Canis lupus familiaris: one gene and its partners. The protein of the gene in region 2 interacts with the protein of the main gene of each other region in a pairwise test. Links are inferred from orthologs where the notes say so. Each region holds a gene or a part of one and is shown on either strand. Other genes may lie near its edges. The genes, in order: CEP57L1, DISC1, PPP4R1, DNAJC7, MYT1L, MPPED1 and DPYSL3.

Region 1 (3,811 bases), on a different chromosome or scaffold from region 2:
TGGGAAGAACGGCAGCTATAAAAATATTTGCCTGAGAAGTCTCTAGATTTGGTGATAGTCCACAGAAAGGAATACTGTCAGGAGAACCAGTTATACCTTCTACAGAGGTCTTAGTTCAACTAGTTGGCTACCCAAATCTCATATTTTCCGGAATTTTTATTGAATATATACTTAAACTTGGGGCTTAAAATATGTATACCACTCAGAATCTTATTTACTATGGATGCTTCAAGACTTATCATTCAGATCAGTCAGAGTTGAAAACAAGGAATTGCTTTCCTACTTGTCTAATGAAATTTCACTTAATTAAAAGGATTATAAAAAAACAAAGGAGAATCTTGCTTTTAAAAGCATTTGTGAAAAAAAAAAATAAAAAAATAAAATAAAAGCATTTGTGAGTTATAATTTAAAGTCACCAGACCGTATTTGTTAGAATAACAGTAGTATTTGCCTATCAGTTCAGATCTTGGGAACACAGAAACTCCTTAGATCAAAAAAATAGTAATTACATATTTAACTAGAAAAGTTAAATACTAACAATAAATACAATGAAAAATTAGTGTCAACTCTGAAGATCAAAATAAATCCAAATCTAAGCAAGGCCTTTAAGAATTCATAAGTGGCATTGTTCTTAAGACAGAGAAGAGAAAAGATACTATATGGCTTGCTACTTCTGAAAAACAATAAAAATACTTACATATTCATTTGGTCCAGCTCATCCTGCATTGCCATCAAAAGTTCAGACAAATTGTCACCAATAGAAATGGAATGTTTTGAGTCAGAAGGTTCAGCTTTACCCTGGGAAGTTGTTCTAGTAGGCTTGTAGAGACATCGAGGCTCAGTAAGTTTCTGATGGGTATGTGGCCCATAATGTTGTGTTACCTGCAGGAGGCTTTGCACACTTGTATTCACAGAATGGCTGGCACTGGAAGACTTTAGGGGAAAAGAAATAGCTAGGAACAATTTCAAATGACTCATGGCATTTAAATAGCACTTACAACAAAGGAGTGTGTCTGAACAAGTATCTTCATTTTCCCCCCTCTCACCTTTTTAGCCACAATTGGCAGTGATCCAGACTTTGAATAAATTTGCTGAGGTAGTCGTTCCTTTAAACATCTAGTTTTCTAAATATTGACAAAGGAAAAAAGTAAACAAAAAATTGTTTTAAAAGACTTTTATGATATGAAGAAGTCTCAAAACTCAACAGTAAACATTCTAATAGAAAATAAGCAAAAATATGGATAGACATTTCACTGACGAGGTCATATGGATGGCAATAAACACACAGAAAGATCTGCAAAATCATAGGCCATTAGTAAAATGCAAGTTACAATGATATAGCACTATACAGCTACCAGAATGACCAAAATAAAGAATAGTGACCACGCCAAATGTTGGCAAAGATGTGGAAAAGCCAGACTGCTTATGCATTATTTGTAGGAATACAAAATTATATAGCAACTTTGGAAAATAATTTGAAAGTTTCTTACACTACATTATTGAATTATTGAACACTATATCTGAAACTAATGATGTACTATGTATTGGCTAATTGAATTTAAATAAAAGAAATAAAAAAAAAATAAAGTTTCTTGCAAAACTAAACACGTACTTATCATATGATCCAGCAATTACACTCCTGGACATTTATTCCAGAAAAATGAAAACCTAGGTTTATGCAAAAACCTATACATAAGTGTTCATCACAGCTTTATTTGTAATAGTTAAAAAGTGCAAACAATCCAAATGTCCTTCAATAGGATCCAGTAAATATCAATACATTCTTTCTATTTCTGTGTAGTATTTCACATTATGGATATACTACAGTTTAATCACTGACAGCAAAGCCATCTGGACCAAATAAGTACATAAGTATTTTAATTTTTTTTTAAAGATTGTTATTTATTTATTTATGAGAGACACAGAGAGAGAGGCAGAGACACAGGTAGAGGGAGAAGCAGGCTCCACGCAGGGAGCCCGATGTGGGACTCGATCCTGGGCCTCCAGGATCACACCTCGAGCTGAATGAAGGTGGCGCCAAACCGCTGAGCCACTGGGACTGCCCAGTATTTTCATTTTTTATTAGAAGTAGCAAGATATACAGGTATCTTTTTTCTTCTCTGTCTTAAGAAAAATGCCACTTATGAATTCTTAAAGATTCTTAAAGGCCTTGCTTAGATTTGGATTTAGTTTGATCTTCAGAGTTGTCATTGATTTTTCATTGTATTTATTGATAGTATTTAACTTTTCTTTTTTTTTTTTTTTTAAAGATTTTATTTATTTGTTCATGAGAGACCAGAGAGAGAGAGAGAGAGGCAGAGACACAGGCAGAGGGAGAAGCAGGCTCCATGCAGGGAACCTGATGTGGGACTTGATCCCGGGTCTCCAGGATCACACCCTGGGCTGAAGGCAGGCACTAAACCGCTGAGCCACCCAGGCTGCCCAGTATTTAACTTTTCAAATTAAATAGTAATTGCTACTTTTTTGATCTAAGGAGTTTCTGTGTTCCCAAGATCTGAACTGACAGACAAATGCTACTGTCATTCTAACAAATACAGTCTGGTGACCTTAAATTACATAAAATTGCTTCTAGGATCTATTGTGTTGTTATCAAATGTTGTGTCATTTAGTAACTCTTTTATAAAGTATTACAGAATTTATTTCTATGAGTTCAGTTCTAGGGGCAGCTTGAGGGAGGTCCTGATCCCTCTGTGCCTGTGTCTGGCAGAGCATGTGAGATGAAGAGACAATCCTTTCTTGTGCTTGGATAATCAAGAGTTTTGGCTCAGCCTTTGGGCACATACTGAGGTGAGGAGCCAGATAAAAAGCACAGGTTGTGGCACTGAAATGGATTAATAAGGAACTTAGTGATTTGGCCCATGACCCTCTAGCACAATGTTCTCCAAGTCCTGTTGGGGATTATATGTTTCATTAGCAAGTGACAATTATGCAACCTAATGATATCAAAGTGGTGTATTCTTTTTGACAATTCATTTTCCTACAGTCTACTCTTTCAAACCAACTAAGGTTACATTTAAAAGAAGAATTTATCAGCCAAATATTAACAGTAATGTAGCATTTGTCTTAATATTCTAAGATCATGATCTTCTGCTTTAACTATTTCTAAAATTCTTTTATCCATTTTTTCACTGTTATGTGATCCTCTAGTGCCAAAGGTTACATGGGTTTATGAAATAGACAGAGATAAGTATAATAGAGTATCTTGGGAATGGACTCAGAAATATGTCACATGATGCTACTATAAAGTCAGAATTACCTGCATTATAGCTGGAATAAAATTTAAATTACCATTCCTTCCTTTTTTTGATTTTCTTATCCAGCTGCTAGCTGCTCCCTTATCAGGCTTCATATTTTTAGATTTTATTTTTTGTTTATTTTCCTCCATTAATTTACATGCTTATCTGACAAAGACAAGTTCTTCCAGTTTTGGACAATAACTGCTTTTAGAAACTAAAAAGTATTTATAAAAGAAGAGTTGCCTAAGGTTCAGAATTTTTTAAAAAGAATGTATTTATTTATTTATATTTTATTTTATTTCTTTTGAGGGAGACAGGGAGAGAATGTCAAGCAAACTGCATTGAGCATTGAACCTGATGCAGGGCTCAATTCCATGACCCTGAGATCATGACCTGAGGTGAAATGGAGTCCGATGTTCAACCAACTGAGCCACCCAGGCACCCCCCAAGATTCAGAATTTTTTTTTATTTTTTATTTTTTTTTAATTTTATTTATTTATGATAGGCACACAGTGAGAGAGAGAGGCAGAGACACAGGCAGAGGGAGAAGCAGG
Region 2 (3,811 bases):
GGCTGGAGCAGGTTGGGAAAGGTCTCAATTATCAGGATAAGGAACTTGGATACCATCCCGAGAAGAGCAATGAGCCACCAAAGGTTTCAAGCCAAGGAATAACACTATCCCACCAGTGTTCCGGAAGATAACTCTGCTGGCCATCCGGAGAATGAACTGGAAAAGAGACACTGAGAAAGGCAAATATGTCAAGAATCTCTTACAAAACCCACGTTAAAAATAACAAGGACTTGAACCAGGGCAGAGGCTGCGGCTGTGAGAGGGAGGTTAGCTGCAGGACTATGAGGATGAGAGAGGTGTTGAAGATGCTTGCAATTTCTCTAAAAAACTGAACGGATGCTCTTAATTAAAATCAACAAATATATGTACCAAGACTAGGGCCCTTTAGAACAGGTTTGCTGGGGAAGACAATGACATCAATTTTGAACACATCTAACTAGAGGGTTCTGTGCATCACCTGGGAACAGAGCCCTGTCTGCATATCCAGCCTGGCTTCACAATCTCCTTGAGATATAAATCATATGGCTGGGGTCCCCAAGGGCTGGCACAGGGCAAACAGGGACAGGGCCAGGAACATCAGGCCACACATAAAGATTTGAAAGTAAATGAGATGCAATTGCTGGAATGAACATGACCTTCACATTTTCAGGTATTTCCACCAAATGCCTGATGAGTAGCTGTTCTACTTCCTTGTGGATGTGTACAAATGTCAGCACACATACACACACATCATATGCACACAGAAGGAAAATGCAGTCACATAGCCCAATGGGTCAGCCACAAAGCATCTCAGGCTGGGTTTCTCTTCGGATTTTTTGGAGGTAGAACAACCCTGCCTATTCACAGTTGTAACCACCTCTCTGATAACAGGGTGCACAACACACTCATGATGCCAGAGTTTGCATGTATACAGCCCCCCCTAGCTTCCAAAAGCCCTTAGCTTCTCACTGCAGCCACAGAAAATCCCATGCAAGGTTACCATCTTTAAATAAGGAAACTGAGAGCCTGACCAAAGTAATGACCAGGAGCAAAGTCTCCTGGCTGCGTCAGGCAGGGCCCACTGAGCAGGATGAAATGCAAGGGCTGCAGGAAATGCAAATGAAGCTCAGCCTCACCCCCAATATGGTGCGTCAATCTCCATCTTCACACCACTCAACCACAGGCCAGCCAGCCCCAGCTCCCCTGCCTCTGCCCCCAATTCCCTGTTTCAAAGCAGAGCTGGGCAGAGCTAACCACACATCACGTAGGCCAGGAACTGCAGAGGAACCTGCTGCTCAACACAGAGCAAATCTGAGCATTCAAGTGACAGAGAAGACAAGAACAAGAACAGATTTGTGTGCAAACAGAAAGAGAAGAAACAGAACTACGGCAACATCTTTTTGCCGTCAGTTACAAAAGGAGCTGCTGCAGCTCCCAGAGGGAAGTCGGTGGTCAACCCCAGAACTACTCATTTCCTGCCTTCTGCCCAAAGCTGGCCTGAGCTCGTGACACTCGCGGGCCCCCAGAGGCTGGGAGACACCAACCTCCAGCTGCCTCCGGTCGCTCAGCAGGCAGTCCAGCAGCACAGGCTCGCACCTCCTGAGCAGCGTCTCCCAAAGGTGAGCCTCCCCCAGGCTGCTGCCCTCAGACCGCCAGGGGCCTGGGGAGCAGGAGGAGGCAGTGTCCGTGTCCAACAAAGAAAGCATGTCACACTCCGGCCTGTGGCTGCCCCCTGTGGTCTGGGCAGAGTCCGCCAGGCTGGGAATAGTCTTGAGAGTGAAGTGGGGAGAGAAGAGTCGAGGATGTTCGTGGGGCCTGTCCATGCTGGCAGCCTTCACTTCCGCCTCCTTGGGGCTCTGACAAGGGGTCTCAGCCTCTCTGGATGGCAGGCAGCCTTCAGCTTCTCCACGTTCCCCAGCAGAGCCAAGTGAGAGCCGTATGAAGCTAAAGCTTGACGTAAAGGCATCCTGAGAGCCAGCAGGGGTTGGGGGGGCCTTGGGGACACTTCCAAGGCTGTAGCTGCTGCCACTTGCCTCCTCTGGAGACAGACAGCCTTTTGTCCAGGTACCGCCTCCAGCAGCATCCCGGCCAGGACCTGGAGCCTCAGAACTGTCCATGGATGGGAGCTCCCCCTGCCACCCAGTGTCCCCAGGGCCACACGACCTGGCTGGCCTGGCAGGTGGCTTGGTGCCAGCTCTGAGCTGAATCCCAAAGAGCCCCGAGGGCCTTCTCACAGGGGTCAGAGCCAGGCCTAGGTAGCCCCCAGAGGTCGGAGCCGAGGCTGCTGTGCTCCTAGGAACAGGGCTCCCAACCGAGGGGCCTCGCCACTGGCCTCCAGAATCAAGGCCACACCGTCCGGCCCTGGACTCAGACTGGTGGGACTCCTCACCGCACGCCCCTCCCTGGGCCTGGAACGGAGCGGCCACTGCTGGGTAGAGGAACCCGATCCGGGGCCCAGCTGCACTTCTCATGTAGCCCGGCCTCCGTGCCAGCCGCCTCCTCCGAAAAGACGCTGCAGGTGGTATGCAATCCTGGCTGCCTAGGAGGAAAAGAGAAAACAGCACCATCAACACGCAAAGCTCACTGGCTCAGCTGGAACTGCATTTGGAGAGCATCTTAGGTTTAGAGGTCGCCGCTCTGTGTATCTGTCAAAGGGAGATGCTGGCTCAGTGGTCACGGGGCCAACCCGGGACGAAGATTCTGACGATCTTCTCCAAGTGTTTGCCTGGAATGCACAGAAGAAACACAGCGTCTCCGCTCTTCTGTTTAGCAGAGCAGCTGGCGTTGCTGTGAGTTATGCCAGCATGTCAACATGCCCACTGGAGTTACAACCTCGCCGGCTCCTTCTGAACCCTCTGGCATCTTGCCTATTGGGCTCTTAGGCACCGCAGCACTTTTATCCCAGAGTGGGCCTGAAAGCAAACAATTGGGAGGCAAATGCCAGCACACTCCTCAAAACAAGATCCGATCGCTTATTCTAGCTCCTTATTGAACAATATGTGAGTTTTCATTATCTGAGCTCTCCGTGTCCCAGCACGTCTCTGGACCATGGAGAGCCAGCTGGGGCACAATTTATGGCCATCAGTTCATCTCTCACAGTGGACCACGGGAGGCCCTGCTTGATGTGCTCAACAAACCAGGGACTATGTCCCCCTCGAGCTCTGCAAAAGGAATAGAAACAATAAAAAATGCTGATAGCTCTCAGGCAGGATTGTATAGCAGTTGAGAGCAGACTCTGGCACCTCATTGCCTGGCTTAAGCCCTGGCTGTGCCATTGCTGCCTGTTCACCTCCACAAATTACTTAACCTCTCTGTGCCTCAGCTTGCTTCTCAGTAAAATGGAGACATTACCAGTACCTCTCTCGCAGGGTGAGACTTAACTAAATGAGTCACTAGAGGTAGACAGCCTACAACAGGGCCTAGCACACATAAGTGTGCTGAAGATGTTAGTTATTATTTCTCTATTGCACAGCACATTGGTACTCAGAATATGGGCATCATCTACATTAATTTCATTTGCTCCCTACCAAAGTTATGCGAATCAACCAGACTAGGAAGTATAACTTCCTTAAAGGAACTTCCTGTTCCTTCTACAGTTAAGGAAACTGAGGCTCAGAGAAATTGGCATTCAGAAACCCCTGCAAGTGACTGAGTGACCAGCATCACAGTCTCCTGACTCTCCTGACCCACATAGTGTTCTCACCATGGAGCCCCGCCACACCATGAATCAGATGAGATGGAAAGCATACAAGTAAGACCAGGCAGTGCTGAACGTGGCTGTAGGTATACTACAGCCCATGGTGAGGAGTGGAACAAAGTTTCATGCCAGGCC
Region 3 (4,413 bases), on a different chromosome or scaffold from region 2:
ACCCATGTCGCTCAAGGGTCAACTGCATAGTGTCCTCCGTGAGGACCGCAATGCAGAAAGGGACAAGCTGATAATTCAGAATTTCCTCTCTCCAAGACACCAGGCCAGCCAATGTGGTATCCTTCAAACGATTGGGTGTTTTGTTCTCCACTTTGGGAGATTACCATTTTTGAGGCCCGTAGGTGGAGCTGGAATAGATTAGAGTCTCGGAGATAGGACCGTGTGGAATGGGAGTCAGAAAACTTGGGTTCAGCCTCCACTTTGCACTTGAGCTAATCCCTTAATACATGTTAAAAAAGAAAAAAAAAAAGCGGCGATAATAAAATCTGTAATAGTGATTTCAGTCGTGCACATGAAGTGCTAGCGAAACTATTTAAAGTGAAAAAAAAAAAAAAAAAAAAAAAGCGGGCAGCCCGGGTGGCTCAGCGGTTTAGTGCCCAGGGCCGGGATCGAGTCCCACGTCGGGCTCCCTGCAAGGAGCCTGCTTCTCCCTCTGCCTGCGTCTCTGCCTCTTTCTCTCTTTCTCTGTCTCTCATGAATAAATAAATAATTTAATTTTTAAATTAATAACTTAAAATTTTTTTAATTTAATTAATTAAAATTAAATTTAATTATAAATTACAAATTTAATCAATAATTTAAAAAAATAATTTTTTTAAAAAAGGGTGGGGGGAGCTAATCGTAGGGCTGTTCCCGGGGCACCACGTCCCAGGTAGCAAGTGCCCTGCTGGGTTGCTCACGCTCGTCGCCGGCCGCGGTAATCCTGGCGCAGGCTCCCCCTCCACCGGCACACGGGCTACCCCCCAAGAAAACGGCAGGACGGGGATCCGAACCCAGGCCCGCGCGCGCCCTCGCTGGAGCTCTTCCCGCTGGGTCAGCGCTCGACGGGCAGGCCCGGGGGCGGGCGGCGCCGGGATGAGCGTGTCCGTCGGCCGCCTGGCGGCAGGACCCCGCGCTTTGTCCGCCGCCGCTGCGCCAGGGCCCCGGCGCGCGGGGAGGCGGCGCTTCCTGCCCCCGGAGGGTGGGCCCCGCGGCCTCCGCCGGGCCTCGGATCGCCGACGACGTGCGTGCAGCCCCGGGGGCGAGCCCGCCGGGAAGGGCCGGGCAGGGCAGGGCCGGGCAGGGCCGGGCAGGGCCGGTGGGCGAGGCCGGTGACCCAACAAAGCGGGCCGCGCCGCGCCGCGCCGCGGGAGGCCCCGCCCGGGCCGCGCTCCGGGCACACGCCGCAGGGTCCCGGGCGGCTCTCGGCGTCAGGGCGCCTCGGGCCCAGGGTGTGAGCGCGCGCCGCCGAGCCGGGAGCGAGGGAGGCGGAGGAGCGGCCGCCCGGGAGCCGCACGGGAGCGGCGCAGAGCGGCCGGGCGAGGCGGGGCGGGGCGGGGCGGCGAGGGGCGGGGCCAGGCCGGGCGAGGCGGGGAGGGGCGGGGCCAGGTCGGGCGGCGAGGGGCGGGGCCAGGCCGGCCCGCGGCGCCCGCCCCCCCGCGCCCCGGAGCCGCCCCGCCCGCGCGCGCCCCCGCCGGCCCGGCCCTCCTGCTCGCCGCCCCGCCCGCGCGCGCGCCCCGGCTCCCCGCTCGCGCCGCTCCATGTAGCCCCGGCTCCCCGGGAGACGGAGGAGGAGGGGGCGACCACAAGATGGCGGGTACGTGGCCCCCTGGCCTCCGGGCGCGGCGGCGGCGGCGGCTGCGGCGGCGGCGGCGCCTCCCCCCGACTGGCGGCCGGCGCGGGGTCCCGGCGCGGGGAGGAGGCGCCGCGGGGCCGGGAGGGCGGGCGGCGGGGGCGGCGCGCCGGGTCCCGGGGCGCTGACCGGCCTTTCTTCTCTCCCCTCGGCGCAGACCTCTCGCTGCTCCAGGAGGACCTGCAGGAGGACGCGGACGGATGTGAGTGCGCCGGCGGCCCGCGGGGAGCGGCGCGGGAGGACGGGCGGCGGCGGCGGCGGCGGCCTGCGCTCGGGGCTCGGCGCTCGGGGCTCGGCGCTCGGCGAGGCGTGGCCCTGGGCCGGCGGGGCCGCGAGCCGCAGGAGGGACCCGCGCTGGGCCCGCGGGCGGCGGCACTCGCGGCGTGTGGGCCCGGGGAGCTCGGGGGCGCGGGCCGACGTGTGCGCTGGCGCCCGGCGGGCCTCCGCGGACCCCAGCCGCCGCGCCCGGGCTTCGCCTTGCGGAGTCGCCGGCGAGTGTCAGCGGGCGGCCGGCCGCAGGGAGCCGGCCCGGGCGGCGCACCCGGGAGTCCCCGGAGCTCGGGGCGGTGTTGGGATGCCGGACCCCCCCTGTGATTCGTGGATTCCGGGAAGGCTGGAAGGTGTGGCCTTAGCTGGAGTTCCTAGCGCTGGGGAGCTTACTGCTCTATTGCAGATGTTCGCGGGGCACCCAGACCTCCCAAAATAGGACGATTTCAGCTTTTCCGTGAGAAAGGGAAGTTTTAAAACAGGCGATCTTTTGTTTGAAAAAACAAAACAAGACAAAAAAAAAAAAAAACAAAAAGGAAAGGGGAGGAAAAAAGAACTTTGACGTTGTCTGCAGAAGACTGTCAGGAAGGAACTGGTATTTAGAAAGGAATTTGTTTATTTCGTGTGTGCCTAAGCATCCGAAGATAATTTGGAAATTGTTCTGCGTGGAAATGATAACCACGGTAGAATTTGTGGCGTATTTAGGGGGAAAGCCTGCCCGTTGCTGAGATTTACTGTGGCTAATACCTGGGTAAGTAATTCAGGGATGGTTGCATTCTGAAATTGCTCTTCTAAATTCTGTGTGGTTCAGCCTTAGCGCTGTGTAATGTGGTTTCCCTTGGCCGAATTAAGCTTCATTTTCGAATTCCTAGGTTTTGAGTGAGGTAAGGGGAATTTACCATTCAGAAGGGTTCTCTAAAAGGAGTATTTTTAAAGCAAACGAACCATATGCAGAATTAACTTTCGCTAACTCTGGGTTGGTGTTTTTGGTGTTTTTTGTGAAGTACAAAGCTCTCTCACACAGGGAGCAGTACTAACATAGTGAGGGACAGCTTCTACACTTCACCTAATGCTTTATGTTAGGCCACCTGTCTGCCTGCTAGTGAGTTGAAAAGGCCATTCAAGGCAGCTGGTGATTGCTTGCAAAGTTAAGGTTGGTAAGGTGGCTCCCATCGTTATCTCAAACAGGGGCTTCTCATTTCTGTGATTAGCTTCAAGACTTTATAAATAGAAGACACAGCAGTCAGCAGGGGTTTAGGAATGCACGCAGCAAGAACTTTTGCCCCTTCCTTTATTTTCATTTCTTGTGACATGCACTCTTAAAGGATGAGCTAGTGTCCCGTTTCCTCATTGAGTCTATAGAAGCCTAGTCTAGAAGGGAAAGCACACCTGTGAAGAACTCAACAATGATTTATTCATGAGCTGCAAGACTTCTGTGTACTGAGGATATAGCTCTGCAAAGGACGGCCACAATCTATGCCCTCTAGTGGTTTATTAGCAGTTTTAATATAAGTGTGATGAAGAAGATATGAGAGGCAGCATAACAGTAGTTAACAGACAACACTCTAGAGCCAGACTCTTGTGTTCCAGTTTTGTTATTATCATTTTGGACAGACCCCTGCAACTCCCTAAACCTCTGTATGCTCACGTTTCATCGTTTGTAAGTAAGCATACTAAGTATTGCCTATTTAGAGTTGTTTAGAGCCTTACATAAATTAAGATACGTAAAGCGCTGAGTACTTGGTAAATACTGTTAAGTGGTGGTGGTTATGAGTGAAGAAGGGAAGCTTAGAAGAGGAAATACTGATGTTGAACATTACAGTACAGAATTAATATAATTATAGACGTTGCTAATGCTTGCAATTAACTTATTAAAGGTTCTGTTAGTTCCTAGTGTGTTTTAATTTAGGATAAAACATTACACATCTGAAGGCATAGTTTATTTGCATATTTATGAATTGATTTAAGACTTCGTTAGAATAATTGCATATTTTTTTCAGTTGCTAAGGTCTTTACAGGTGCTACCTTTACCTGGAATATTTGGGAACAAAGGATCTTTGAACATGTGGCCAGTTGAAGGACCACTTGCTGTCTGTTGTGAAGGGAGAAAGAATGAGGAGGAAATCTGGCTTTGATGCCTAGGCCAAGGGTAAGAGAAATGGAGAGAAAATGAGAAAGCTTGTCACCTCCTGGAGAAGCTGGAGAAGGTAGAGAGGACCAGAGATGTTAGAGAGAATGAAGCTTGGGCTGCCCTTACAACTAGAAAGTATCGTATGAACTTGATTTTCTGTCTCAGGCAAACCCTGGGATGGAGGCCCGCCTCCAGGGTACTGTATACCAGGTCCTGCTGCTTCAGCCCAACTAGGTCTAAGTCGGTGCTCGTGATGGGAAGAAATTACGTTCTTGCCGAACTCTAGAATCTTGGTTGTCTTTCCTAAAAGCAGAACCTAGACTAAGAAGAGAGAAAATGTACA
Region 4 (3,811 bases), on a different chromosome or scaffold from region 2:
GATAAGGATTTGTCTGATTAAAGCCATATTGATTTTTCCTTATTGAACACATGTAAAGGTATAATTATCTACCCCATTATCTTCCCAAAAAGTCAAGAATTTTCTCCTCACCCATTCCCTGTTCTAAAACTAGAGTGTCCCTTGAGTTGACATGGTGTCATGTACCTAGCCACCTCTGCCCCACCAGGCACTTAGGGGATTCTCTTTGTTGGCTATTACAGATAACACCACAGTAAACTTGTATATAGCATTTTGTATCTGTTAAAATGAGTCTTTAGCTGGGTCGGAGGGTATGTGTTGTCTTCCAAAGCTTCCATGTTTGCCAGTGGTTTGCAAACAAGAGGTGACTGACAGCTGGTCTCACAGAGTCTATAATACAATTCTGTGGATGTCTCTGATGGACTTACTCATCTACTTAGAATTCCACTTAAAAAAAAAAAAAAAAAAAAAACACCACACACAGTAGTAATTTTCCTACTTTTAAAAAATGTGGATAATTCTGGGCCAACTAAATGGGAGACAGGCCACACCCGCCACCACTGATGAGACAGAGGAGCTTAAGGAATGATGGGCTCGCCAGACATCAGTAACATCAGTTCTCTGACTGGACATTTTATGACAAGAAACAGGATGAGTGTTGGAGGATTAGTATACAACAAATAGGTCTTCCTTTTGGAACTTTAAAGATAGAATGTTCTTCTCTGTCTGGGAAATAATCTGAAATAAAAAGAGATAGATTTGGGGGGAGGACTCTCTTAGCCCTGACTGAGGTTCCTATCTGCAGAAAACTCTGGATGTACAAGCTGGGGAGTGTGCTGACTCTGAAGGCCAATCGGGACACTAGATCTAAGTAGGCATACCCTGGCTCATGAATCACCAAGGCCCACAGAGCTACTTCAAAAGGGACTTCCTGATACTGCTGAGAGGCTGAGCAAGATTAAATCCCTTCCAACTGAAACACGGTCTTCCCTAACCCAGAACATACAGGATAAGCACAACTCTCAACTGTCTCCAAGAGATACTTTATTTCTTCCTCTTCCAAGCACCATCCACTCATCCCACAAAAACATTTATTGAGTGAGCACCTACTGTGTGCCAAGCACTGTGCCAAGTTAGAGCAAAAGTGTACAACACAAAATACAATCTCCAGAGGAAACGGATTTAAACTTTAACAAAAGGAATTTGGGTCAGGCATCAGAGGAAACTTACTGACCGTGAGGGGCGTAAGACACAGTCATGGGAGACTGAGGGAGCTTGTGCAATCTCCTCCGCTGGGGGTCTATAAAGATAGTCTAGAGCTGGAACAATCCCACCTAGAGGCAGGGGGAAGGACCAAATGACCTCACAACATCCCCGGGTCTGCTTCAGCAGCCACAGTGCAATTCCCCTGGCAGGCCAGCGGCAACTCCCTCTTCCCCTCGCCCGCCGGAGGCACTCACCACTGAGCTCTTCTCAAGTAGGCTTTTATATAAGTGGCATCGAGCTTCACTGCACTCGTGCAGTCTTCTATTGCATCATCTAGTTTCCTAAGCTTCAGGAGAGAGAGAGCAGTCATACTTCACATCTCTGCGGACTGAGGGAGCCCGGAGGCTGTGAGCACGGCTTCAGAATTCTAAGACGATCAGTCGTGCTAGCCCCCTAACTGTCACACACTCTCGGTCACTGAGAAAGCTAGTGTCTCAGAGGGCTAAGGACGCCAGATTCGAAACCGGTTTCTCTTCTACAGGATAGAAGTCAGGCACACTTCTGTGCAGGGATAAACCACCTCTACCACTCCAGGGTAGTGCCCAAACAAGACAGGGAAATAGTGGTTCCTGCCCTCCATTCTCCCAAAGGCCAATGAGAGGGGTATGAATTACTCTGATTTCTAACTACTGGAATACTATAAGAGCAAGGGCCTGCTGTTGTTTCTTAGAGTATGCAGGACTACAGTGGAGATGCAGACTGTTTCCAGCCGAGCATGGTGACCATCAGTTATGCTGGATAAAAAAAATTAAGCCTGCCTCATACTCTAATTTCTTTCAAATTACTCCTAAGAAAGAAATAATCACTTGCTTAGGCCAAAAACAATGATAAAATTTGCCTAAAAATGATGCCAAAGCCCCTGGCATTCTCTTAGTGGAGGAAAGGGATCTTGAGGAAGAACAGGTAGGAATATCCTTCCAAACTGTCCCTCAAGTGCCCTTCAATTTCGAGGAAAAGGCAAAAAAGCTTGCCTCTCAGAAGGAAGTTTGTTAACAAGCTGAACTCTCAAACAAAAATCATCTTCTCTCCTTTCATCTGGCTGCCCTCATTAGGCAGATTCCCCAAGACCTCTTTGAGGTCCCTTAAACATATCTCCATAGACCCCAAGACCCAGACCAAGTGCTTACCTTGGAGTTAACCGTGCCCCGATTACAGTAGAGTTTAGCATTTGTTTTTATATTGTTAGGGTCTATCCCCAGGGCTTCTGTGTACAGTTCATAGGCTAGCTTGTAATTTCCTTCTTTAAATGCTTTATTCCCATCTTCTTTCTTTGCTTTAAGTGCTTTAGCATTCTACAGGGAAAAGCAAGGGGAAGTTAGTTCATATCCAGGAAACCCAGACAACTGTACAAGAGGCCCAAGTCTATTTTTGATTTCTCAGATCACAGCTGTTTAGCCTCGCACTGATCCTTACCACAACCACCCACCCCTCCGCCCGTACCCCCACCATCTGGGCTCTTTGTTGCTCACTGGTGCTTCCTACAGAGTGGACAGGAGAAACCAAGATTTGCAACAGAATATCATTGAGACTTGTTTGCCCAGGATTTACCTCCACTCCCTAGAATAAGCATTACTATTTTTTCTTCACTGAGGGAAGAAAATAAGAAAAAGCACACTTAGGTATTAGAAGGATCTGACCCTACATGATCACATTTACTTTTAAGTAAATAAACGTAGTTCTGAAATAATTTCTAATCAAAGACCAAGCATCCTGGCAAAGCGGGAAAAGGAGCTATCACATTTCATGTGATCCTAGAACCTTTCATTTTTGATTCACAGGTTCAAAAAGGAAGTTTTCTTTCCTACTCAGATCTGGGGCCTAGAACTTACTCTGCAAGCAATGCAGGCCTTCTCATGGTCAGGAGCCATTCTGAGAGCCTGTACAAAAAACTGAACCGCCTTCTCAATACAATCTTCATAATAAAGGCAAAGACCTCGTACATACAGAGCATCCGCATTGGTAGAATCCATTCGTAAAATGTCACTGCAATAGCCAGAGAGGAGAACATTCAGCCATGGTTTGGATCTCCCTACCATTACTATCATTTGTGATTACTATCACTAATTTTTCCCTTGACCATGTGTCTAGTATGGAAAGCATCCAAAGGTCAACAGATCCCAATAAGCTCTTCCCATACCTTCCCCAAATAAATGACCTATATTTATCTTTATTTATTTATTTATTTATTTATTTATTTATTTATTTATTTATTTATTTTAAAGATTTTATTTATTTATGACACACACATGCAGAGAGAGAGAGGCAGAGACACAGGCAGAGGGAGAAGCAGGCTCCATGCAGGAGCCCGACGTGGGACTTGATCCCAGGTCTCCAGGATCACGCCCTGGGCCAAAGACAGCGCTAAACCGCTGAGCCACCCGGGCTGCCCTATATTTATCTTTAATACACTTCATGTGTCTCAGTCATTATTAGAACAGAGATTGGCAAACTACAGCCCAAAGGGCTAAATCCTGCCCACCGCTGTTTCTGTAAATCAAACTGTACTGAAACCTAGCCACATCATCCATTTATCTATTATCAATGGCTGTTTCTGCACCACAGTGGC
Region 5 (3,811 bases), on a different chromosome or scaffold from region 2:
GAACCCTGCGAGAACGTCTAGAAAAAAAAAAAAAAATCGTGCGCTGGATTTAGCTTGCTCCCTTTCCTCCCTTTCAAGTGGATGCTTGAGGAGAAGAAAGACAGAGGAGTTTCATGATGAACTTACTTTGTTTTAGCTCAAGATTTTGGAAAAGATTGCTCATTTATAATTTAAATCATTTCAAGGAGATCGTGTATAAACGAGAACTGGTGCAATAAGGCAACAACGAAGCTGGAAATAAAGACTGTTGGTAAGCTATCCGGTTGTAGGAATTGTCCGTTGGCCGTGTTGGTAAAATGTCATATCATGTATATTTTTAGTAAGGAGGGCATTAATTTCCTTGGCCCACTCTGGTGTCTCTGCTTGGTTTTATTTAATCGGTTCTGAACGTACCTACGGATATCCTGAGAAAAGACCTGGGAACGGAGTGGAACACACGTACGGAATGGGAGAGCTTGGCTCAGAGGAAGGAATCTACAGAAACAGGTAGAGTCAGGGGTCAATGCTTCTGACTCATCGGGAAGATCCATACCCCAACCCTTCCCCCGTTTCAGGGAAAAGCACATCTCAGGTTTTACTGTTTGTTCCCACCTCAGCCCCATCTGTTGAAGGGAAGCAAGCAGTTTGAATTCCATTTCTTGCAAAAAAAAATAAAAAATAAAAAAATAAAATAACAATGACAAAGCAAAATGAGTAAGGGTCTACAGAAAGCTGCTGGGTTTAAGGGAACCACAGAAGCCAAAGAAGCCAGGGCGACATGGAATCTGCGATGCCCCGTGAGCCCACACGTTCCCGAGGTTCGTTGCCGCATCCCTTGCTGCCAGCTCCACCATGAAACCCGCTCTACCGACTTCTGACACGTGAGGCCTCAGTCCAACTGAGCCGCCCCGTGAGAAAGGACACTACTTTCTTCCTACAAGTGTCTGGTTCCTATGAGTCTCAAACATCCAGCTCAAACGTCCTGGTGGGTTGCACTATGGTTGTGCGCACACATGCTGCTTCACGGTCTTACTGCACCCAGAGCAAGCTGACGCTCCGCTGGGCTAGCGCCTGTCCCCTTTCCTCAGATGCCGCACCCCCTGGAAGGTCCCCCTTCGCCTCCCGAACTGAAACGGTGGTCAGCGCTCAAGCACCTGCCGCGTCGAGAACCCGACGGGCCTCTGGCTAAGGTTTGTCTCCAGCTGGGCTTCGGTTAGAGCGATGCCACAGGAGCGATGCACATGTACATTGAGAGGAGACTACACACCTAGGTCACAACGGGAGAAACTGGTTCTCTGATCATTTGAGGTTTCCATAGCAACTGATTTTCAAGCCAAATTCCTGAACCTCAGCATCAGATCCACAGTGAGGAAACCCAGTCTTTGCAAGGAATAGAACACAAGGTAAGACAGAGGATGTGCTTTGTTACTAACGTGGAAGGGTTTAAGGAATTACCAGCTTCCTTTTTGAAATGGCTTCTGACTTTAGGTCTTGTAACCGAGATGCCCACAGTCTCGAGGCTCCTCGTGGGGTTAAGTCATAACCAGCTCGTATCACAAGTGGACACGGTTCTTATTGCAAACACAGGGCCAGTCATCCATTCATGTCTAAACACTCCGTAGATGCACTGACTCTGTGTTTGCTTTATGTAGGAAGATGCGTGAAAATATGGGCCTGTAGAGCTCATAAATGAAAATCTGCTGAAACTATCGTGTTGGGTGGTTTTTGAGTATTTCGCCATAAAGTAGGCGCCATAACCGTTTCCACAGAATGGAATGGAATCAGTGAGCGGGAATGAACATCCTGAAGGAATAACTATCGATCTCAGCTCAGGACACACCACGCCTTGCATAGCAAACGGCTCCCATTACTCACTATCTTAAGATAATTAATGTGCAGTCACTGCCCTTCTCTTACGTTATAGGTCATTCTGTTTCTGTTCGATTTCTATGAGGGCATGTTTTCTATGGGGGGGGGAGGTGTTTCATCAATAAGTGTCACTTGGTTGATAATTTTATAAATCATGATGCCACCTACCCGTTCCGATACATAAAATACATGTCTCATCCCTGATTGGCTACTCGTTGCATGAGCCCTCGCCACTCCACATAGACTCTGCTTCGTGTGTAAGAACGCAGGCTCACGCTAACGTTTCCTATCACGCGCTGTGTTTGCGCGCTAGCCCTGTCTTTCCAAGGCAAGCCTCTCCCGCTGAAACGTGTCACTCATCTGCTCTGATGGGACATTGGGCTGCTTTGTGCATCTCCCAGACAAATATTTTATTCGCTCTTCAGAAACACAATCACAAAATGTAATTCTGTAATCAGCTCTAAAGAGATGGGCATCAGTGATAAGACTTAGCGTGATGCACACTTCCTTTGTGGAGCATCATTGGCATCTTTCACCCTAGCTCCTGTTTTCATGAGGCAACTTACGTTAGGTAGAAATATTACCTTTACCATAGTATGGCTTTTTGACATGGCTGTCACTGGACTTAGGCTTCCTCTCCTCCCCGGGAAGCTGTCTTGGCGACTGCTCCTCGTACGACCGCACATTGTCCCGCCTTCCGGCCTCCATCGCCATCTTGTCCCTCATGGCCTTCGCTCTCTCTGTTTCCAAAGCAATGGCTTTCTCCAAGAGGGTCAGGTTTCCCTTGGTCATGTCAAACACCTCCTCAGACCTGTCCGAGTTCACGGAGGTGGTGTCGTCGTCTCGTTCGTGATACCCATCCTCCTTTGCACAGCTGGAGAAAGTTCTAGACCTGGGGCTCAGCTGCTCCTCGAGCCGCATCAGGTTCATCATGTCGGAGTAATTCCTGTCCGGCGTCCTCCCCGCGAAGTCGTCCTCTTGCCGGACGTGCTGGCGGATGTTCATGTTCTGCTGCTGGCTCCTGTCCTGCGGGTTGGTCTCGCTCAGTTTCCGAGCCAGGTCGAAGCACTGGTTCCGCAGGCACTCCAGGCTGCTCAGACACACCTCCTCGTCGCTCTCCTCCACCATTTTGTCCATGAGCCCGTTGTTCATGGGCTTGCCCAGCATCACGTAGTTCATGTTCCTGCTGTCCTGCTGCGACAGGGAGTCTGCGTACGCTCTGTCGTTGAGGTTTTCCGCGAGCACCACCCCGTGTCCCTGGGCCAGCAGCTTCAGGGAGTCCACCGTCTCTCTCACCACGTCGCTGTCCAGGTCCAGGCTCAGCTCGCTCTTGCGGCCCAGCGCCTCGTTCCGATCGCTGCCGTCCTCCAGGCTCGTGGAGGTGTTGCTGTTCATCTCCGACTCCGTTCTGGCCCGGTAGGCCGCGTCCTCGGCGATCTTGCCGAGGTTCAGCAAGGACTTGGCCACCAGCTCATCGTAATTATCGTACTCCTCGTTGTTGTTGTCGTCCTTCTCCGTGTCTTGCATTATTCGAGAATTGTGACAGCTCATTTGATGGTCTTCTGCAAAGAAGATAAAAAAAAAAAGGGACAAAAAAGAAAAGAAAAGGAAAAAGTGGCTAGAACTTGAAGTTTAGTGGCAACAGCATGGAAAGCAAGTCAATGGCACGTCAAAACCCTGCTCACTGTGTACTGGAGACGAAGCCCCGCGTGTGGCGGGGCTGGAGCTGTGCCACCGAGGGCACGGATTGCGCTACAGCCGGGGGCCCGCGGGAAGCCCTTGCTAGGAACTTTCCATTTCCTTAATTATTCTTAAAATGAGCCAGTCTATGTGGTATGTGTAATTCTAAAATATGAATTTTTCATTCTAAATTTTACGAGTGACTTTTATCTTTTATTGGCTTTATTTATTTGCAGCCCAAGCAGATGCGTGATAATTACACTCATCGTATTACCAGGCTTTC
Region 6 (4,584 bases), on a different chromosome or scaffold from region 2:
CGTGCCCAGCTCCAGAATGCCTCCCAATCACCACCGGCTGGCTTTCAAGCCCCGGTGTGCTCTCCACCGCCAGAAGCCTGCTTCAGCCCAGCCAAATCCGCCACCCCCTCCCCAAATGGTCTCCCAGTGCCTTGGCTCCCATGGACCAAGCCCGACTTCCAACTTGGCTATGGCAGTCGGCTGGTGGCCTCAATGACATCCCCCAGAGCATTTTAGCCAATGTGACTAATTATTCATGAAGTTGGTGTATTTATTTATTTATTTACTTATTTATTTATTTTTGCAAAGACCAGCCAGGGTACTGAGGCTCCCCGTGTGGCTGGTCCCCACTAACAAGTCTCCCCCCACCATGCAAGTCCTCTCCAACCGGCTCAAACATCCACCAGCCCGCCCACTTTTGTTCCCCAGTTTAATTTCATAATTGTTTGGCACTGAACAAGCTCTCCTCTGGGCGGGTCAACAGGGACTTTGGAGATGGGAAGGGAAGGCAACCAAGCTACTGGAGGGGAACTGGGAGAGGTCTGACCCAGCGTGGGGGGAAACGCATCTCCCGGAGGTCAGTGGGACAGACTTGGGGGCCAGGTCCCGCATGGGAGCCTCTGGCCATCCGGCCTGAGTGGAGAGAGGATGTAAGGGAATGGGAGATGGTGGGTCTAGGACCCCCCAGCCGTGGTCCGCCACAGACGCCTGGACACATCAGCTCTCAGACTGACCCTCCTCTGTCTCCACCTGGACCAGGGGAGGCTGTGAGTGAATTCACTGTCCTATAACAAGTCCCAGAATAAACACACAAGAGACAGAACTGCTCCTTAGCATGGAAATATTACCTGTGAGGGCTGGGACCTGCCTGGTTAGCCGCTGAATCCTCTGGACCAGGCACAGAGCAGATAGTAACAAATGTGTGTGCAACGAGAGAGCGGAGGGATGGATGCATGCATGTGTGGACGCATGGACGCATGGACGCGTGGATGCATGCGTGGATGAAGTTTCCAGCAACGCCCGGCCAAAGTGGCCACTAGCCCCGCATTAGTGACCCCCTCCGTCGCCCCCAAGTGCCGGCAGGGGCTCCGCGGCGCACAGTAGGCTCTCAGCGACCGGGGGCTGCTATTGTTAGGACCCTCATCATCACTTGCGCCCCGCCGGTCCGCTCCTTCCTCCCGCAACTCCGCCGGCAGCCAGCAGAGACCGGCGAGCCGGGGAAAAGTTTCGCCGCCCCTCGCCCCGGTCCGAGCCCAGCGCCCCGGCCGCGGCCCCTCCCGGCTCCCCGGCTCGGCCGGCCGGCGGCGGGGGGACACGGCCCGGCGCCCGCACCCGCCACGGGCGGCCAAAGTAACTTTGCGGGCGCCCCTGCGCCGCGCCGCGGGCGTCACCCCGCGCCCCAGAGGGTCCCGGCCGCGCCCGCCCCCGCCCCGCCCCCGGCCCCGGCCCCGGCCCCGGCCCCGGCCCCGGCCCCCGCCCCCGCCCCCGCCCCCGCCCTACCTGGCCCCGGGCTCCTCTTCGGCGGCCGCGGCGGCCGCGAGCAGCAGCGCGCACGGAGGGAGGCAGGGGCCCGGCTGCGGGGAGGGAGGCGCGCAGGGGCGGGGGCTCCTCCGGCGGCGGCCGCCGCGCCGCGCGTCCGAGGCAGCAAGTGGGAGCCAGACTCCTCCTTCGGGGGGCGGGGGGCGGGGGGCTCCCCGCCGCCCCCTCCCTCGCCCGCCGCGCCGCTCCGAGCCGCCCCGGCGCCCCTCCCGCCGCCGCCCTGCCCCCCCGCTCGCTCCCGCCTCCCCCGCCCCGCGCGCCCCGCCCGCCGGGGCCCCCGCCGCGCCCGCCAGGCCTCGGCCCTCGGCCCCCGCCCGGCCCGGGCCCCGCATCCCGCCGCCGCGGGCACCGGGGAGCAGCGGGGCGGGCACCGGGGGGCGGCGGGGCGGGCGGCCGGGCGGGGGAGCGGGCCCGCGCTGCGGAGGAGAGCCGGCGGCCGCCCCGCCGCGCCCCGCGCCCCCTCCGGCCCGCCCCCCGGCCCCGGCCCGGCCCCGGCCCCGGCCCCGGCCCCGGCCCCGGCCCCGGCCCGGCCGCGCGCGGGGTGGGCGGGGAGCGGGGCGGGGGCGCTCTCACCTCCGGATCCGCGGCCGCCGCGCCGGGCTCGGCTGCTGGGGCGCGCGCGGCTCCTTCCGGGGCGCCGCGGCCCCCGCCTCCGGCCCGGACCCCCTCCCGAGGCCGCGGGGGCAGCCGGCCCCGGACCCCCACCCCCCATCCTCCCCCCGGCTCGCAGGCTGCGGAGGCCCCGCTCCGCCGCCTGCGCCCCCATCTCTTGCTCCCCGGGGTCCCAGGTCCCCAGTCCCAGGGTACAGACGGTGGCCGGCGGAGGCTTGACCCGGAGCGGGGCAGGTAAGCGGGTCAAGGCCACGGAGCACCTAGCCCCCGGCTCGAAGGTCCTGCCTTGTCGGGGAGAGGGGAGAGCGACACCCCCCGCAGGCGGTGGTCCCACCCTGGGGAGTTTGAGAGGCCCCCGTGACCTCCAGGCCCTGCCACGGGTGGAGGGCCGCGTCCACAGGGCCTGTAGCCAGGGCACGGCTCAGGCCTGGACCTCCCAGACAGAGAGGGAGGTGAGAAGGGGGGTGTGGCCCCTCAGAGGCCCATCTAAGGCACCCCAACAATGTTTATGGGTCCCCTCCCCCAACACACTCACATCACACGGTGGCTCCCACTCCTGCATTCTTCCAGGCTTCAGACTCAATATGAGGACACCCTGTGTGGGCGCCTGGGGCCTGGCCTGCCCTCGGGGACAGCCCAGTCCAGGAGGGAGGCAGACAGGGACCCAGGAGAATCCCCTGCACCAGTGCCGGAGCAGGAGCAGGAGCAGGAGCAGGGACCGCTACCTGGTGTGGCTTCTTGGAGGTGGACACACCCCAGCTGAAAAAGTGTATGCCAAGGAGAGAAGGTATGGAAAAGGCATTCCAGGCAGAGGGAACAGTGCATGCAAAGGCCTTGGCATGTTTGGAATGGCAGCTTCAATGGGACTGGAGAGAGGAAGTGGGGGGAGAGGGGAAGGAGGGTGGGGGAGGGGAGGAACAGGAGCCCCATCAGGAAGAGCCTTGGATGCCTGCCTAAGGGGGTGGACTTTATCAGGGACAGTGGGGAGCCACAGCAGGTTTTGAGCAGGGGCATGCCTCGGTCAGGTTTCTCATTTGCCCGGGCAGAGGAGCAGGAGGGGCCACTCTGGGAGATGAAGGAAGCCCTGCTGGGGCCCTGAGGCCAGCAAGGGGGACAGAGAATGGCTGAGGGGACCTCAGGTGAGCATCTGCCTCCTCTTCCTTGTCTGTGGACCTGAATTCTCCACTGCGGCCTGGGGCCATCCTGGGGGTAGGGGGCAGAGGCCAGGCTAGAAGAACAAACTCAGCCAGGCATGCGGGCAGGGCAGCTGGAACACCCGGCCGGCAGCCCCTAGACTTCTCCTCAAGAGCCGGGAGCCGCCACTCGGTCTCCCCGCAGGGTCCGTTCTGGAAAGCGGGTTCCCCAGTGCCCTCACGCCCCCAGGCAGGACCCCCACCCCCCACGATCACTCGCTCTATCTCTCGGGTCCACGCTGACCTTTGCAGATGCCCAGCTTCGGTGTGCCTGCCTAGTGAAGGTCAGGGCCCCAGGGAAGGCTCTCCCCAAGTCAAGAAGAGAAGAGTGTGGGAGCAGTCAGATAAACACACAGGCCTGCTGCCGAGGGCAAGGCTTGCTCAGTGGCCCACGTCTGCTGTCAGCCCCACTGCTCAGGGGGCTGCAACATCCAGTGGACACCTGTGTCGTCCTGGGAACCTGGAGGTGGCCAGGGATACAGGGGGCACCCAGATGCAGCCCCTGCCATCCAGCCATGGCCAGTGAAAAGCCAGAGGGGAGATGTGCCTAGAGACCCGCCTGGAACCGAGTGTGGGCTGGGGGAGGGAGAGATGCCCACCCTGGGAGACGGAGCAGGGCTTCCCGGAAGAGGGCCTGAGGCTGAGCCTGGAAGAAGGACTGGGGAGATGGCCTGATGGGCATTCCCAACGGTAGAATTGCAGATGCCCAGGAGGAGATGTGCAGGGAGGGCAGGAGGGTGTAGACTCCCTAAGGATGCAAGCAGGCCCTAAGACAGGTCGGGAAGGGCCTTGAGGGCCACGCTCAGCAGGCCACGGGGCCCCTGAGCTCATTCAAACAAAATGCCCTGTGGTGTCTTGTGACCAGCGCGCCAGACTGGTACCTACCGAGCAAATGGAGGATGAGATCCACTGACCTCAAACCCCTCGTGGCACGCAGAGCCACCCAGCTCCTCCAGCGGGGCTGCCCAACCCCGTGGAGCATAAAGCAGCCTCCTGAACCAGCAGGGAGCATCTTTCTCACCCTAGGGCTGCAGGCTTCACCAGCACATCATCTCCAAGGAAAGTGGTCCATCCACCTGCTGCCTGCCAAAGACAGAGCCACAGCTTGGTAGTGGCCTCAGGAGACCCTGGAGGACATGTGGTCTGGGACAGTGGAGAATTGTTGGTCTTGGTCCCTGTGGAGAGAGCAGAGAAATTCCTGTGACACTCATCCTCTAAAGCCAGCTTCCTCACCACTTCCAATCCCACCAGCCCTCCCTTC
Region 7 (4,393 bases), on a different chromosome or scaffold from region 2:
AGAATAGTTTATAGAAACTAAAAGTAGGCAGATTTGGGCTTAATTCAATTTTTTTTAAAGTGAAGTTTTCCAAAGTTGCTTCATGAGGTAGCATGCTCCCTGAAAATGTGGTATTTATTTATTTATTTTTAAATATTTTATTTTATTCAATCATGAGACACACACACAGAGAGAGAGAGAGAGAGAGAGAGGCAGAGACACAGGCAGAGGGAAAAGCAGGCTCCATGCAGGGAGCCCGACGTGGGACTCGATCCCAGGTCTCCAGGATGACACCTTGGGCCAAAGGCGGTGTTATAAACCGCTGAGCCACCCCGGCTGCATGGTATATTTAAATGTGGTATTTAAAAGAGTGGCCAGAAGGGACATCTGTCTGGCTCAGTTTCTCTTGTTTCTCTTGATCTCAGGGTCATGAGTTCAAGCCTCACGATGGGCCTAGAGTTTACCTTAAAAAAATATTTTTTTAATTCACAAAAAATAAATAAATAGAGGCTAGATAGTTATTGTGGATCTACGTAGCAAAAAAATATATGGCTTAATGAAGGAGGTTTAATGTACCAAACATTCATGGAGCACCTCCAATGTGCCAGGCATTTCTGCTACAGCGATAAACCCAAACACCCAATCCCTACCCTCAAGGAAATAGCCATTAAGTACAGAAGTAGATAAGGTCTGCTGACTCTTCTAGCAGCGTGATTCAACCAAATTAGAGATAATAACATGGCCGGCATGAAGCTGACAGTAAGCCCGAACTTACAAATAACCACGTAGCACAAGAAATCCTGCTGATGCTTAAGTTGTAGCATTATTTTTCAATTAGCAGCCAAAAGTACAGGGTTTGCAAAAGGAAGGAAAACGAGAGAATTTCTGGGTTTACAGGAGGAACATTTTCCCTTTCTCTAGTTACCATTCTTAAATCCTGCAAACCAGGCATATTATCTGGCTTACATCAGGGGTGTTCCAGCAAAGGGAATAGCACTGACTCACAGCAATTGTTACCGACCTTTTCCATCACTTCTCCCACCCCTTAGAGTCAGGAAGGGAAGGAACATTTCAATCCCCATCAGCTAAGACCTGAAGAGAGGCAATAATCTTCCTGTAACACCATTCTTAAGTTTAGAAATCAGCCACAGCTTTTCCAAAATATCAGAAGTTTCTTGTGAAAGGGTTATTTGAGCAGAGCCTAGAGGAATCCCACATTCTAAGGATGATATGAAAATCACACACTAAGAGAGTGATTCCAAGGGACGTGGACATTGTTTCCCAAGGGCACTCTTTTTCCCCTAGTGGTATTAAAGCTTTGTTTGTTTTTTCAAACTTTCGAAAACCAAGCAGTGCAGAGATATGCTTTCCTTTGAGGGGCTCGCTGCATTTGAATGGAAAACCTTGAAAATCTCGGTTAAGCATTAACTGTAATTGCTCTGAGGCAGACATTTCCATTTTGGGTTATTATTATATCAGTATTTGCACAGAATACTATCCGTGGATGGATTTTGCTGCCGTTATCTACACAAGAGTGACGTATCTGATTACTATTGTTCCCCAACTCAAAAGCATCAGTTTGAACTTTGAATACTCCAGCCCTGCCCAGAGCCTGAATTTTCTGAAAGGTGGTTCTGATTTTCTACGAAATAAACAAATAGATGAGAGCAAGCTGGATCTCAAGGCCGTATCTCCAGTCGATTCAAAGTGGCATGAGTTTCTCAAAAACACACATACAGAAGAAACTGGCTTTGGCACATGTAGGAGCGGCAGAGACTCTGCAGCTTGTGCTAAGTTTAAAGTGCACCCTTAGTACTCTGGCCCGTTTTCAAAACTAAGCGATAGTCTCCCAGGGACAGCTGGATCCCTGTGCAGCACCCAGTCTTGCAGCAGCAAGCTCCGTACACAAATGTACACGTTACCAACACAGATGTGAAATGTCCATCCAGGACAGGAGAGAGGCATTCAGACTGGGCTGTTTAGTCTAGTGGCTCCACACCCAAAAGTTTCAGGGACACAGAGGATGTTGGAAGAGTGAGAGGGGAGACCGCCCGTCCCGTGTGTTCATCCGGGGCCTATGGAGTTTGCCCTCTGCCCTGGTGACCCGGGTTGAGATTTAATCTAGGGCCAGCGTGGGGCGAAGCCCATTGTGCTGGCGGCTACCCGGGCGGAGAGGAGGGCTGGGCACCAGCAAGCCTTCCGGGCGGTGCGGGCCGACACACCCACCCAGACCCGCAGGCCCAGGGGTGGGGCGGGGGGCGCGCCCCGGTCCCGCGCGCACGGGGATGCTGCTCCCGGGGGCCCGCGCGACTCCGGGTCCCCGCTCGCAGGTCGCGCTGTACGCTCCGAGAGGATGCTCTCCTCCTCCTCCTCCTCCTCCTCCTCCTCCTCCTCCTCCTCCTCCTCCTCCTCCTCCTCCCCTCCTCCTCCTCCTGCAGGGCCCCCGCCCCCCGGGCGAAGTGAGCGGGAGAAAAGTTGTGCCGGGGTCCGGGGACGCGGGCAGGGGCGGCCGGCCCCGGGCCCCCCTACCTGGTCCTTGGGGCCGAGGTTCTGCAGCACCTCCTTGCCCGTGGCGCTCCGGATCTCCACCCCGGCGGGCGCGGCGGGCGCGGCGGGCGCGGGCTCCCTGGCGTCCTCGCGGCCCTGGCCCTGGCCCTGGCCCTGGCCCTGGCCCTGGCCCCGGCGCGGGCTGTCGGCCTCGAGCCCCGGCCGGCTCCCCGCGCCCCGGCCGCCGCCCTGGCTGCTCCGGGGGGTCTTCGCGCCCCGCTGCCCCACGCTCAGCGCATCGAAATCCAGCGTCTTGCTCTCGAAGGCGCCCTCCACGCTGCAGAACATGCCGCCGTACTTCTGCCGCGGGACCTGGTCCGTGGTGCCGGGCCGGGCCAGGTACACGGGCAGATCGTCCTCGTGGGCGCTGTCCCAGCCCCTCCGGCCCGAGGCCATGGCTCGGCGCGCGGCGGCCCCGCGGCTCGGCTCCCCCGCAGGCGGAAAGGGCAGCCGCCGGCAGCGTGCGCCGAGCCACAGTGACTGGGGCGGGGGGAGGCGCCTGAGCGTTCGCGCCAGAGGCGGCAGTGCAGCTCCGGTTCCTGCCGGGCCGCCGCCAGCCAGCGCGCGCTCCGCCGGGGACCTGCCGCCGCCCGCCCCGCCGCCCCCCGCCGCCCGCGCCGCCCGCGCCGCCCCCGCCGCGCCCCCGACCCCGGCGCCGCCCCCGGGTCGCCGCCCGGCCGCCCTGCCCCAGCGCCAGCCCCGGCTCCCGAGGACCCCGGGCCGCACGCGCACACGCGCACTAACCCTCGCCCCCTCGCGGACTTGCGAGGTCGCCTCCCCCGCGCAGGCCTGTCCGCCCCCTGGGACCCGCCGCTCCAGGTGGCTCGGCCGGTGCGCCTCGAAGCCGCACTCGTGTGCAGCAACACCTCTCGCACGCGCGCACACGCACACGCACACGCACAGGGGTTAGCCGACTTAGTCCCGCACTTTGCTTACGCGTAATCCCGGGCTTGCCGCCTCCTCCTCGTAGAGCGGCCTCACGGTGGTGCCTCGCACACCCGCACCCTCAAACCAAGACCTGCCGAACCTGTTGAAAGACACCCTCTTACTTCGCTGACAGTGACAAAAGCCCGTCCCCGACTCACAGGCAGATCGACGCTTCAGCTATTCTTACCTCGTGTTTGGGACCCCAGATGGTGCTTTCTGCCCCAGAATTTGCCTCACAATTAGTTTGCCTGTCACAGACACGCACACACGTCCCTAGATTGTAAGACACCACCGATACCCCATCGTACAACAAACCCGAGGCTAATACCTCGCACACTCCCTCGAGCTCAGCTTTGCCTCAGTCAGAACCCTCCACGGGGGCTCACACATAAGCTAGGATTTAGCTCAAAAATACACACGCTTCGGCCCGCCGAGTTCCCTCAGTTCCACACACAAGTTACTTACGCGGATGCCTGCTCTCACAGCTCACTCTCCTCCCGGTGTCCACCCACATACACCCTAAACCACGCTTTGCCAGTAAACACGGAGCTGGCGACCGGCAGAGCTGGCACGGCCTCCGCACACACAGCCGACGTCCGGAACCCCCGGTGCCCACATTAGACTAGGCCTCCTCTCGGAAATTCACTCATTAAATTCCTTAATTTATTCTTTTTAAGGAGTTTTATGTATTTATTCATGAGAGACACAGAGAGAGGCAGGCTCCATGCAGGGAGCCCGACGTAGGACTCGATCCCAGGACCCCAAGATCACCCCTGGGCCCAAGGCAGGCGCTCAAACGCTCAGCCACCCAGGCGACTCCTTAATTTATTCATCCAACGTGAACTGAATGCCTACTATGCTCTTCACGAGATACTGGAGTGACAGTGTTAAAACAAGGCAGATGGGGGCCCACCCTCAGCTAGAGTGTAGTCCGCAGCCA

Evidence for each region.
Region 1: the proteins of DISC1 (region 2) and CEP57L1 interact in a two-hybrid assay, tested with the Homo sapiens proteins (2 studies listed by BioGRID and IntAct). The link is inferred for Canis lupus familiaris from reciprocal best matches to the Homo sapiens genes DISC1 and CEP57L1.
Region 3: the proteins of DISC1 (region 2) and PPP4R1 interact in a two-hybrid assay, tested with the Homo sapiens proteins (2 studies listed by BioGRID and IntAct). The link is inferred for Canis lupus familiaris from reciprocal best matches to the Homo sapiens genes DISC1 and PPP4R1.
Region 4: the proteins of DISC1 (region 2) and DNAJC7 interact in binary tests that used the Homo sapiens proteins (3 or more experiments, as listed by UniProt). The link is inferred for Canis lupus familiaris from reciprocal best matches to the Homo sapiens genes DISC1 and DNAJC7.
Region 5: the proteins of DISC1 (region 2) and MYT1L interact in a two-hybrid assay, tested with the Homo sapiens proteins (2 studies listed by BioGRID and IntAct). The link is inferred for Canis lupus familiaris from reciprocal best matches to the Homo sapiens genes DISC1 and MYT1L.
Region 6: the proteins of DISC1 (region 2) and MPPED1 interact in a two-hybrid assay, tested with the Homo sapiens proteins (2 studies listed by BioGRID and IntAct). The link is inferred for Canis lupus familiaris from reciprocal best matches to the Homo sapiens genes DISC1 and MPPED1.
Region 7: the proteins of DISC1 (region 2) and DPYSL3 interact in a two-hybrid assay, tested with the Homo sapiens proteins (2 studies listed by BioGRID and IntAct). The link is inferred for Canis lupus familiaris from reciprocal best matches to the Homo sapiens genes DISC1 and DPYSL3.

The regions. Positions count from the first base shown.
Region 1 is NC_049233.1:66,472,949-66,476,759, reverse strand, and holds part of CEP57L1 (centrosomal protein CEP57L1), read right to left. Parts: intron 3,255-3,811; exon of another isoform or gene 2,834-3,254; intron 1,437-2,833; exon of another isoform or gene 1,392-1,436; intron 1,125-1,391; coding exon 1,047-1,124; intron 934-1,046; coding exon 698-933; intron 1-697. UniProt on the Homo sapiens protein: Centrosomal protein which may be required for microtubule attachment to centrosomes.
Region 2 is NC_049225.1:8,197,747-8,201,557, forward strand, and holds part of DISC1 (disrupted in schizophrenia 1 protein), read right to left. Parts: intron 2,519-3,811; coding exon 1,524-2,518; intron 1-1,523. UniProt on the Homo sapiens protein: Involved in the regulation of multiple aspects of embryonic and adult neurogenesis. Required for neural progenitor proliferation in the ventrical/subventrical zone during embryonic brain development and in the adult dentate gyrus of the hippocampus.
Region 3 is NC_049228.1:75,667,128-75,671,540, reverse strand, and holds the start of PPP4R1 (serine/threonine-protein phosphatase 4 regulatory subunit 1), read left to right. Parts: upstream 1-1,527; 5' UTR 1,528-1,629; coding exon 1,630-1,636; intron 1,637-1,829; coding exon 1,830-1,874; intron 1,875-2,285; exon of another isoform or gene 2,286-2,690; intron 2,691-3,946; exon of another isoform or gene 3,947-4,088; intron 4,089-4,413. UniProt on the Homo sapiens protein: Regulatory subunit of serine/threonine-protein phosphatase 4. May play a role in regulation of cell division in renal glomeruli. The PPP4C-PPP4R1 PP4 complex may play a role in dephosphorylation and regulation of HDAC3.
Region 4 is NC_049230.1:20,751,673-20,755,483, reverse strand, and holds part of DNAJC7 (dnaJ homolog subfamily C member 7), read right to left. Parts: intron 3,229-3,811; coding exon 3,075-3,228; intron 2,538-3,074; coding exon 2,373-2,537; intron 1,532-2,372; coding exon 1,440-1,531; intron 1-1,439. UniProt on the Homo sapiens protein: Acts as a co-chaperone regulating the molecular chaperones HSP70 and HSP90 in folding of steroid receptors, such as the glucocorticoid receptor and the progesterone receptor.
Region 5 is NC_049238.1:1,007,804-1,011,614, forward strand, and holds part of MYT1L (myelin transcription factor 1-like protein), read right to left. Parts: intron 3,411-3,811; coding exon 2,433-3,410; intron 1-2,432. UniProt on the Homo sapiens protein: Transcription factor that plays a key role in neuronal differentiation by specifically repressing expression of non-neuronal genes during neuron differentiation.
Region 6 is NC_049231.1:23,113,158-23,117,741, forward strand, and holds the start of MPPED1 (metallophosphoesterase domain-containing protein 1), read right to left. Parts: upstream 2,818-4,584; 5' UTR 2,693-2,817; coding exon 2,666-2,692; intron 2,122-2,665; exon of another isoform or gene 2,092-2,121; intron 1,542-2,091; exon of another isoform or gene 1,480-1,541; intron 976-1,479; exon of another isoform or gene 828-975; intron 1-827. UniProt on the Homo sapiens protein: May have metallophosphoesterase activity (in vitro).
Region 7 is NC_049223.1:40,967,748-40,972,140, forward strand, and holds the start of DPYSL3 (dihydropyrimidinase-related protein 3), read right to left. Parts: upstream 2,923-4,393; coding exon 2,509-2,922; intron 1-2,508.